Linked DNA regions of Callithrix jacchus. The protein of the gene in region 2 binds, or shares a complex with, the protein of the main gene of each other region. Links are inferred from orthologs where the notes say so. Each region holds a gene or a part of one and is shown on either strand. Other genes may lie near its edges.

What was found. The genes of interacting proteins can lie anywhere in the genome.
Region 1: E2F4 (region 2) and LIN9 share a complex: the UniProt entries of both Homo sapiens proteins name them as parts of the DREAM complex. The link is inferred for Callithrix jacchus from reciprocal best matches to the Homo sapiens genes E2F4 and LIN9.
Region 3: E2F4 (region 2) and LIN52 share a complex: the UniProt entries of both Homo sapiens proteins name them as parts of the DREAM complex. The link is inferred for Callithrix jacchus from reciprocal best matches to the Homo sapiens genes E2F4 and LIN52.

The regions. Positions count from the first base shown.
Region 1 is NC_133520.1:22,938,978-22,942,724, reverse strand, and holds the start of LIN9 (protein lin-9 homolog), read right to left. Parts: upstream 2,873-3,747; 5' UTR 2,783-2,872; coding exon 2,704-2,782; intron 1,556-2,703; exon of another isoform or gene 1,322-1,555; intron 1-1,321. Other genes in the region: uncharacterized protein LOC144580374, read right to left, coding at 2,873-3,310. UniProt on the Homo sapiens protein: Acts as a tumor suppressor. Inhibits DNA synthesis. Its ability to inhibit oncogenic transformation is mediated through its association with RB1. Plays a role in the expression of genes required for the G1/S transition.
Region 2 is NC_133521.1:24,703,016-24,706,762, reverse strand, and holds the start of E2F4 (transcription factor E2F4), read right to left. Parts: upstream 2,545-3,747; 5' UTR 2,498-2,544; coding exon 2,363-2,497; intron 1,936-2,362; coding exon 1,826-1,935; intron 1,686-1,825; coding exon 1,524-1,685; intron 1,233-1,523; coding exon 1,189-1,232; intron 319-1,188; coding exon 257-318; intron 22-256; coding exon 1-21. UniProt on the Homo sapiens protein: Transcription activator that binds DNA cooperatively with DP proteins through the E2 recognition site, 5'-TTTC[CG]CGC-3' found in the promoter region of a number of genes whose products are involved in cell cycle regulation or in DNA replication.
Region 3 is NC_133509.1:109,031,746-109,035,492, reverse strand, and holds the start of LIN52 (protein lin-52 homolog), read right to left. Parts: upstream 2,897-3,747; 5' UTR 2,890-2,896; coding exon 2,859-2,889; intron 1-2,858.

The sequences.
Region 1 (3,747 bases), on a different chromosome or scaffold from region 2:
TCTGCCCTGCCAGGTGACTGCACAGTGGAACCATTCATTAATACAGGAATCACTAGAAGTATCTGTCCTGGGGTGGGAATGAGGTGGATTTTGAACCTGTGCAGTTTTGAGGGGCCTTTGAAGCATCTAAGAAGAAATGTGAAATAGGCAAGACATCAAAAAAGGAAGCTCAGGAAAGATCTGGGCTGAAGATAGCCTTGATTTCATCATATAAAATGTGAGTACTTACAACAACTGAAATCAAGATTAAATGAGCAAAAACATATAATATGCTTTGCATGACATCTGGTTCACAGTAAATACTCAATAAATGGTAGCTTTCATTATTGATAATGTATCAACTACTGGATAAGGTATTAGCTAGCCCCCTTGACTAAATGTGGCCAAAAAACATACTTCTATTTCCAGTATCATATTGAAATTGCTTTTCCTTTTCAAGACCCGGCTCCAGTTTCATTAATAGTACCTGTTACTTTGTATTCAATTCCATAGAAATCAAGTATTTATGGATACTTGACTTGTGGCATTGTATGACAAACAATGAAAGAAAATCCCTGGTTTCAACAGAGCGGAAGTCTGGCTAAACAAGACATATGCTTCACAAATACACACCAATGTACCAGAGATGTCATAAAGCAATATAAGTGATTAGGTTATGTTAATTTTAGAGTGGAGCTGGAATTTGAACCCTAGTATAAATCTCAAGTTCCTACAAAGAACCACAGTAAATTGTCAATAAATGTTGGATGATATGAAGCAAATATTCCTGATGGCAATTGTAAGAAAGCCACTTAAAATGCCTATCATTAACCAAAATAGTGGCTCTAGTGATCATGACACCAAGAGGTGATAAGACATCTTTATGATAAAGATAGCAAGGATGATGAAAAACATTTTTGGATAACAAGAACACTGTGCTTAGTAGGTCTACACTCATTTGGGAACATTCTAAATCACAATCAATTGTATTCTACAAATAAACAATACAACTCATGGCTGGTCAACAGCTGTGCCCTATCCAATACAGTGGCCACTAGCTACATGTGACTATGCAAATTAAAATTAAATAAAATTCAAAATTCAGTTCCTCCATCCCTCTAGCCACATGAAATGTTCCATGGCCACATGTGGCTTGGCTACCTTATGGGATATCACAAAAGAAAACAATTCCATCACCGACAAAGTTCCTTTGGGACTTGGCGCTGCTTTCTATCAAATTTAAAACACAAACACTTTTAATACAACTTTTCACCAGCTTGGCAACTTAAATTTTTAACTTCATAACTTTTATTTTTTTGAGACGGAGTTTCGCTCTCGTTACCCAGGCTGGAGTGCAATGGCGTGATCTCTGCTCACCGCAACCTCCGCCTCCTGGGTTCAGGCAATTCTCCTGCCTCAGCCTCCTGAGTAGCTGAGACTACAGGCACGCACCACCATGCCCAGCTAATTTTTTGTATTTTTAGTAGAGACGGGGTTTCACTATGTTGACCAGGATGGTCTCGATCTCTTGACCTCGTGATCCACCAGCCTCGGCCTCTCAAAGTGCTGGGATTACAGGCGTGAGCCGCCGCGCCCGGCCCCTAACTTTACAACTTATTAAGAATACATGACCTCACAAAGAAAATGGAATCGGCAGTATGCTGAGTTCTCATTTGCCTTGTACACAGATAGATTCAATAGTGATTGAGCCTTTCGCAGATATGTATAAACTGAATAGTGAATGTGGATTCAGGACCTTTTTGTAATTAACTAACATATTTGATTTTTCATATAATTTATGCAATGCTGTAAATTACAAAATCAAGTTCCACTGCCCTTAAACTATGGAATTGGTGCTTTTACTTACTCAACACAAGTGAGCATACATGTCTTAGATGTCAGGGTGAGTAAACATGGTTAAATGAGGCAATGCCCTAGAGTGGGTGTCAGGGAGGGTACTGCACACGTACGCTGTGTTGGTCACATCCATGCAAAATAAAGGTACATTATGGCTCTTAAGACACATACAGAAGAAAGTCTTCGGGACGGGGGCTACCTGAACACTAAGTATCCGGGCTGGATGATCTCGGGAAAGGTCCACAGCCACCTGTGGTCCCAGGGGAAGGGGCTAACCCTCTGACACGGAAACACTTCTAGGGGTGGACACACCAGTGGGGTGGGGGGGGGGGCGGGCGGAGAGGACAGTGAAGATCAGAAGTGCTCGTAGAAGCAGGAGCTGTGACAGGACAACATCAGAGGCTGGGGCAAGAAGATGGGGCCGTGGACCACCCCGTGCCGAGCCCGAGCCCTCCCCCGGCCCCGGGACAGGCGAGTTACATAACCCCGGCGAGCGTCTCTCCGCGCCGGGCGAGTGGTGCAGGCGGCTAGGACAGCCCCCACGCCCGGGGGCCGCTCTAACCCCCACCTCGGCCGGGGGCAGGAGTCGGGCCAGGGGAGCAGCCACCGCCTCCGCCCGGCACAGGCTGGACTCCCGGGCTCTCGGTTTCCGGCCCTGGCGCTCACACAACCCTAGAAACCAACACACAGACACCATAACAAAGGCGGCGACGCGGCGGCAACACCGGAGTGGAAGGACTAGGAGACCACGGTGGAGTTGGCAGTCAGCCCACCTGCCCAGCGGAGGGCACAGCCGGCCGTCCCGGCCGGTGCAGCCGCGGAGCAGGCGGCGGGCGGGAAGTGGGGGTGCTTTGAGGTGCTACTCACTCTCGTCAGGCAACTGGTCGAGCTCCGCCATCTTGAACGAGCCGCGCCGCTTTTTCAAAGGCTGCCCGCCGCAGTGCATTGTGGGGCGGAGACTGTCTTTGCGAGGGAGGTTCGAATGCGGAGCTCGCTGCCCGCGGCGCCGCGCTGCGTTGCTCCCGCCGCAGCCGGCTTAGGCGGGCTCGGCTCCGTCCGCGCCTGTCCGGGGAGGAGGTGCCACCGAGGGGGGGCCGCGCCTTTCCCCTCCGCCGCCGCCTCCAGCTGAGCGGGCGGGAGGAAGGAGGCCGCGCGGAGAAGCCCGGCGCCGGAGCGCGGGGGGAGCAGCGCCAGCTCCGGAGTCCCGCCCGGGCCCCGCGCCCGTCGCGTGTTCCGCGGCCCGCGCTGCAGCTGTGGGAACTGCAGGTTGTTTGTTCCGATTGGAGAACGGGAGGGAGGCCCTGGCAGGGGTAAAGAAGCCCTCGGTTCTGGGTGTCATTGCCCTAGGGGGCTGTACGCAAAGTGAAATATTCACGGTTCCCGAAACCCACGTTGCTCGGGCGCCTCCCTCTTCCGGAGAGCTCTGGCCGCAGCAGACCCCTGCGCGTCGCGACCTTCGGGCCCCGCGGTCCATCGCGAGCCCGGGACGCCTCTCCCGAATGTTGGAAGCTGAGCTGTATGCAGCCGTGGAGCGAGACCTTGAGAGGTCATGAAGTTAGTCATTTAGGCCGACAGCTGAAGAACTGTTCTGCTCTGCTCTTTCATCCATTCCACACTAGATCGTGCAATGGGCTGGGAGAGAATTAGGAAACGAATAACAGGAGGCTTCGAGAGGATACAGAAAGGAACAGTGACACTACAAGGTGATAAAGTACCTGATCCAAATGTTATGAGAATACTGGACGAGAATTCAACGAAATTGAAAGAAGCCCAAGGAAAAATTTCACAATTTCTGTCTGTAACACTTTCCAGTAATAGAATACTGTTGCTTTTGAAAAATTCATTTAACAAATGTCATTGAGCTCCAATTCTTTTCTCTAGGAACTTACGGGAGTTGGAGGAATGAGACAG
Region 2 (3,747 bases):
TTTCTTCTGCCCATTGAGACCCTAGAGATGGGTGGCAAGGGATGGGAGATGGGTAGAATTGGAAGCACGCTTGTGGTCCTGACTCCTGCCCAACTCTTGAGTCAGGACCACAGTATCCTCTCCCACCCAGGCTGCCCATCCTCCCAGATAACCCCGAACTCCAGGCCTCCCCCTACCTGCCCCACCCGGGACTTATCAGACTCCACAGCCAGCACCCGCCCTCAGCTGACCCCGCCTGCCTAGGCTAAGCACCCACCTCTGGGATGGGCACCTCCAGGCTGGTGCCTGATGGGGCCCGGATGGCCAAGAGGGTATCTCCTAGAATGACAGAGAATGGGTCAGAGCCCATAGGCTAAATCTGAGCTGGGAACAGAGGTGCCTGCCTTTTGGAGCAAGGCAGGAGATCATAGTCTCTGAGGGGCTAGTCAGTGGGTCTCACCAATCCCCTACAGTGGCTGAGCAGAACTAAAGCTCTTCTCTTTCTGAGGGTCAGTAACCAGGAAATCTGAGTTCAAGTATGTGGAGTGAAAGATCACTGGCCACAGGCACCTCACTCCACCAATGGCTGATCCCTAGGTGAAGGTGTTCTAGCCAAGGCCAACATCCCTTTCCCATGACCAGCCTTGGGGATGCAAGATGGAGAAGAAACACATCTGTAGGGCACAGTGGCTCAGGCCTATAATCCCAGCACTTTAGGGGCTCAAGCCAGTTAGACAGCTTGAGCTCAGGAGTTCAAGACCAGCCTGGGCAACATAGCGAGACCTTGTCTCTTTAAAAAAAGAAAAAGGAATAGATCCTGTATTCACAATACAAGTAAATAACAGGTTGGAAGTGGGCACCCCCATACCCTGCATACGAGCACGTAAGAGTCTGCACACAAGCAAATACACACATATCCTCTCTCCCCCTCTTCTCCCTTGTGCCTCTGTCATGCCCAAGAAGCCAAATCCAGGTAACAGTGCATATGGGAACAAACCCAGGGACTCACTCCAAAATTCCTGTACCCTCTCAGTACAGCTGACCTCCACAGGGTCCCAGTGCCCCTCAGACAGAAGACTTACCCTGCCTGGGTCCTCTTTGAGCAGGCCCCAGAAACCCTCTTGAGAGACACTCAAGAGACAGTGTCTCCTGAGACACTGAGCCCAGTGCCCCAGCCCACCCCCTTGTCCCTACCCAGGCTCTGCTCACCAGCAAAGCATCTGCAGATGTCCTCATGAGTGACGTAGGCCAAAGTGTGAGGGTTAAGGAGAATGGCCCTATGGTGACAGACGGCAGACTACAGAGAAGACCCAACTCTTTAGCCAAAGTCTGACACATAGGCCCTCGGAGAAAGTTCTGGGGACTGGGGTCCACCTGGGGAGGGATCACAGGCTAAGACTGGGAAGGGGCTCTGAGGAGGGAGCCTGAGGTTGGGACACGGCTAGGGGCTACAGGACAAGCTCCCAAGAGGGAGAGGGCTCAGGGCAAGTTGAACCAGAGGGCCCCTTGCCCACTCGCCACAGCAGAGACCGTCAGGAGGATATCAGCTGTTCTGCACGTCCTCTGTGACATTCCGGATGCTCTGCTGCACCCACACCTTGTGCTGGTCTAGTTCTTGCTCCCGCTGTTGCAGCTCCTCGATCTCTGCCTTGAGCTCAATCAGCTTGTCGGCAATCTCCCGGGTATTGCAGCCAGGCCCCACACCCCTGAGCCCAGGGAGTGGGGCCAAGAGGAACTGCTGAGAACTCTGGGTCCCACGGCCCCTGCTTTCTTCCACATCCTCCACCCCACACCCCTGACACTTCTGGGTGGGAGACTCTACTACCCTCCCACTATCCCCACTCACTTCCACTGGATGCTGTTCTTGGACTTTTTCTCGATCAGTCCGATACCTTCCAAAACATTGGTAATGTCATAAATCCGCCGCTTCTGGCGTACAGCTAGGGTGTCAGCTGCCTGGCAGACAGAATAGAGAATGATCAGCTCCACTCTCGGGTGTACCCCCAGCCACCCTGAGACGTGGTCTGGGAAGGGAGTAACCTGGGTTCCAACCCTGTAGTGCCTCTCAGGTGCTACTGCAGCTCAGGACCGCAGGGTGAGAAGAGACCTGGCGCACAGCCCTGAACTGGTGTTCTGAAGCTCTTCTCCCAGCCAGCCAGGAAGGGCCACGAGGACAAACACCTGCAGCCCCGAGCCTGGCCCATAGCTGTCGCTCAATGGCCTCGGCTGAATGAATGAAAGATCCCCCGGCCTCTCTCCTGTGAGAAAGCACACGATGGCGGCCAGCTCTCTGAGGACCCGGCCTGGCCGCCCCCGGGGTTCCCGCTACCGGCTCAGGCCTTGTCCACCACCCCGCCTTGTCGTCCCTTAGCCCGGGCCGCACCAGCTTGAGGTCAAGCACGCCATCCTTGGCCTCCTGCAGAAGCGACACGAACTTGGTGGTGAGTAGTCCCAGGCTCTTTTCGTGCCGGCTTGGAGTGCCCGGGGGCGGCGGCGCCTGTGGCCCGGCCTCCGCCATCTCACCCGCCCGCCGCCTCCCCTCAGCCAGGCCAGGCCGGCGCCGCCGCCACTTCCGCTTCCGTTCCTGCCCTCCTAGCCGCCGGAGCCAGAGTCGTTTCTTCCGCTTCCGCCGCATGTCCCTTCTAGGGAACGCGGCGCTATTTTTGTCTGAAGGCGCAGCCGCAAAAGTTTAGGGACCATTAGCAAATGTCCAGCCGCCTAATAAGACGAAAACTACTTAGGTATACCGGGAGTTGAGGATGAAGTTGGGGAGGAATGAGGAGGATGTCAGTTGGCAGCCCTGGCAGTAGAGAAAGGGGCGCCATCGGAACTTTCCTTGCCAATTTGCCCCAACATCACCAACTCTGTGCAGTACCCATCTCGGGAGAGGAGACCACACTACCCAACTAACCCAATCTGTTCCCTCAAACCTGTTCCTTTTTTTTGTTTGTTTTCCTATTTATTTAGAGACGGAGTCTCGCTCTGTCACCAGGCTGGAGTGCAATGGTGCAATATCGACTCACTGCAACCTCCCCTCCCGGGTTCAAGTGATTCTTCTGCCTCAGCCTCCCGAGTAGCTGGTACTATAGGCACGCACCACCAAGCCCAGCTAATTTTTGTTATTTATATATATATATATATTTACATATATGTAATTTACATATATATACGGGTATATCTATAGAGAGAGTTTTTTTTTTTTTTTTTTTGATACGGATCTTCGCTCTCGTCACCCAGGCTGGAGCACAATGGCACAATCTCAGCTCATCGCAACCTCTGCCTTCCGAGTTGAAGCGATTCTCCTGCCTCAGCCTCCCAAGTAGCTAGGTTACAAGCCCACACCACCACACCTGGCTAATTTTGTATTTTTAGTCGAGATGCGATTTCTCCATGTTAGTCAGGCAGGTCTCACTCAAACTCCTGACCTCAGGTGATCCACCCACCTTGGCCTGCCAAAGTGTTTGGATTACAGGCGTGAGCCACCTCGCCCGGCCATTTTGTTATTTTTAACATTGTTGTTTCTTTCAGGTCAGGTTCTCTGGGAAATGGGACTCATTTTGCAGCAAGTTTGTTGGTGATCCACACCTGTTTTTTGAGGTAGGGTCTGAATTTGTTTGTTGCCCAGGCTGGAGGGCAGTGGCAGGATCAATGCAGTCTCAGCTTCCTGGGCTTAAGCAATTCTCCCACCCCAGCCTCCCAAGTAGCTGGGACCACAGGCATGCACCACCACATCTGGCTCGCTTATTTTTAGTTTGCTTTTGTTTTTGT
Region 3 (3,747 bases), on a different chromosome or scaffold from region 2:
CAGGTGTGGTGGCATGTGCCTATAATCCCAGCTATTGGAGAGGCTGAGGCATGAGAATCACTTGAACCCAGGAAGCAGAGGTTGCAGTGACCCAAGATGGTGCCATGGCACTCCAGCCTGGATGACAGTATGAGACTCCATCTCAAAACAAAATAAATAATAACAAAAATAAATTAGCTGGGCATGGTGGTGTGAGCCTGTAGTATCAGCTACTTGGGAAGCTGAGATGGAATGATAGCTTAAGCCTTTCAGTGTGCTGGGAGCTATAATCATACCACTGCATTTCAGCACCGGCAATAGAGTGAGAGAGACCCTGTCTCTAAAAGAAAATTTAAAAAAAAATCATTGAGGGTAGGATCTATAACCTACACCGGTGACCTTATGATACCACAATCTGGGACAGAACTCTGCTGTGAGTCTTACTCTCACAAATTAAGTAATTAGATGGCTGTATTTGAATTTCAGTTTTCTCCTTTTCAAAGAAGTTCCAGCAAATTTAGCATGAAAAAGACAAAAGAGTAAATAAAAAACATTTTTAAATCAATATTGTTTGAATTAAATTTTAAAGACAGTGACAGGTGGAACACTAAAAATAGAAGTGAGAGAGCTAGGCCATGGAATATTTTAGAATGAGTTACTTATTTAGAAGATGAATTTAATTAAGTTCAAAGTGCTCGACTTGATTTTGTCAGATTAAAAAGAAAAGATTAGGTGGAGAAGAGTGAAACTCTGTAAGAGATAAGAATGAAAACTTAAAAAATAAAGAGTGCAAATAAAGTGACCATAAAGATGGCTAGAAGACCAAAGGAAAAACATACAATGTTTTTAATACTCTTCCTGGCCAAAGAAAGGAAACTAAATTGAGAAGACAGGGGAAAAAATCCAACTCAAGAAACACATCTTTAAAATCCCCCAAATCTGTAAAAACAATTTAAAAATAAACTAAAAAATTTAATAACAATTACCTCTACTTCTATCACTTGGCTTTGTTATTTTAAATTGTGGTGAAATATACATAAATTTGACCATTTTAACAACTTTTAAGTATACAGTTCAGTGGTATTAAGTACATTAATTGTGCAATCATCAGCACATTCATTTCCAGAATGTTTTTCACCTACCTAAACTGAAATTTGGTACCTGTTAACAGTAACTCCCTATTCCCTCGCCTTGCTTTTTAAATGCCCTTCTTTCTGGCAAGAGAAGGACATTTCAGCAAGAGAGCACCCAGGCAGGAGACTCTCTTTTGACTCCAAACATCCATAATTTCTTTTTTGTTGTTGTTGAGACGGGGGTTTCGCTTTGTCACCCAGCCTGGTGCAGTGGCATGAACATGGTTCACTGCAGCCTCCACCCCAGGGCTCAAGAGATTCTCCTGCCTCAGCCCCCCAAGTAGCTGGGATTACAGGTGTGTGGCACCATGCCCAGCTAATTTTTGTATTTTTTTTTTGTAGAGACTGGGCTTCATCATGTTGTCTAGGTTGGTCTTGAACTCCTGAGTTCAGGCAATCTGCCCGCCTCAGCCTCCCAAGATCTTAAAACTTAAGATCAAGTAATATATTATTTCTGCATATATCTAATCAATCTTTCAATAAATGCTAATTAAAGACCTACTGTTCACCAGGCACTGTGCTAAACCCTGGGATCCAACTATAAACAAGACAAACTTGAAATTTATAATCTAGCATAAAAGGGGCAAAGTTAACAGAATTACTATGCTGACAAGGAAGACACTGAGATAATGAATAATGGTGGGGAAGAGCGACTCCAGATCCTGTGTTCTAAGAGACTCTTTGGGAGGTGACATCTAAAAAAAGATCTGAAATTGAAAAAAAAATATTTATATGTTTGAGTAATCTTTTGGAATCTCAAAGCACCTAGCATTATGCGTTTCATGTAGCAGGTACTTAATAAAGCTCACCTTGGCTTCAATTTCCTCATTCCTGTAATGAACTTTCAAGATTCCTTCCAAATACAAAATGTGTTTGTCTAAGGGAGGGAAACCTATATATCAATGAAATCGATATATATAGTTGGGATGGGAACGACAGAAACAAAAATGAGTTTAAAAATGACTGCAAGACCCTAACTCTCTAAAGCAGAACCGAGACCAAAAGCATAGGAATATACCAAGACAACCTAATTGTTACTTGAAATGACTTGCATTTTACAATACATAAACAGAAATCGTTCATTCACTCAGCCTGAAGAAACAACACAAAAAGCAGATGCAAAAGAGGTTGCGACCTGTGCAAGACAACACTTAAAAGCTCAATACTCATTCTCCTCGCGACTCTCACGGTGAGGGGCCGAGAACGTCCCCCGATTATCTTGCTGCCACGGCAGTGGTCCCAAACAAGAGACAGGAGAGAGATCATGTTTCTCTTGCGGTTCAGTATCGAGATGAGGTCAGCCAGCAGCCACTGCTAGAGTTTGTGAGAATCGTTCCATCCCTGCGCTCAATCAGAAGAAAACTGATCCCTCAGTGTGATACTCCAAGGAGGAGACTAGTTTAAGGCACGTCCTTTCCTCCACTAACATCTCCTCCGAGGCTCTCAGCCTCACCCAAATAGAGACAAGGAAGGATCAGGGCAACCCCCTGTCCTTTTACCCAAAGTGAGTCCCTCCCTGGTGCCCTCCTCCACACGCCTGGTACAGAGCGGGGAAACTGGGCACCTCCGGAGCCGCTGTGAAGAACCAGTGAGCTGAAGACGGCGATGGATCTCAAGAAAAAAAGTAAAAGGGAAAGGAGAAGAGCCCAAGAAAGAAATGTATGTTTGAGGGGCAGAGACAGAGTAGACGTTGCCGGTAGAGCAAAGAAGGAGGCTGCAGGCAAAGATCTACAAGCCGGCTCTTACCGTCTGTGGGAGACGCCATCTTCCAACCCATGTCACGTGACATGGCCAACCGTCGGCGGGAAAACGAGGATCCATAAGCCACTCCCCCAAAGAGAAACCCTATCCCCAACTCACAGCCTAGTCTCATTCCCTCGCCTCATAGGGCAACATTTGCCTATCCCCGCCCCTAATTATAGCCACGCCCCTCGCGCAGTTGTTGAGGTGGAGCGACTGCAAAATTCTTGGAGGGTCTTATTTACTTTTCTCGGTGAGAGGGCGGGGCCTCGGTTGCGCCCTTGGCCAATCGGAGTTCCGGGTTAGGGGGCGTCTTCCCCGTGTGCACAGTATGGAGTGTCCAAGTCAGGGGCGTCTTCTCTACCTCCGCCAACAGCATTGGCTGAAGTGGGAGAGGGCGAGACCTTTTTCGCTCCTGACCAATCACTTATTCACAGGACTGGCGTGTGAGGGGCGGAATCAGGTGTTGGTTCGCGTGACTGGCTGGAAAAAATAGTCCTACCCACCAATGAGGAAGCCAGTCAGGATGGAGGGCGAGGCCTGGCAGCTGTAGTGCTTCTGAGCAGTAGAGGCGCAGGGTGCGGAGCTAGGGAGGCCGAGAGCCATGGCGGCGGTGGTGGCGGCGGCGGCAGTGCGAGCCCGGATCCTGCAGGCGAGTGAGGGTGGTGCCAAGGGACCATGAAGCCAGGACTTAGATCTTTTCCGTCCACTCCGTGAACCATCCTCGGGCGGGACCACCTTTTTGGCCCAGCCCCTTTTTGGCCGGACCTCGTGTTCCTACGCGACCTGTGCGGCCCTGTCCCATGCGCAGCTCTCACTTCATACCCTACCTCGTCCCGGATCCCACCCGAGCTGTTACTCTTGGCCTTACACCCTTTTACTCCTGAGCCTCCTC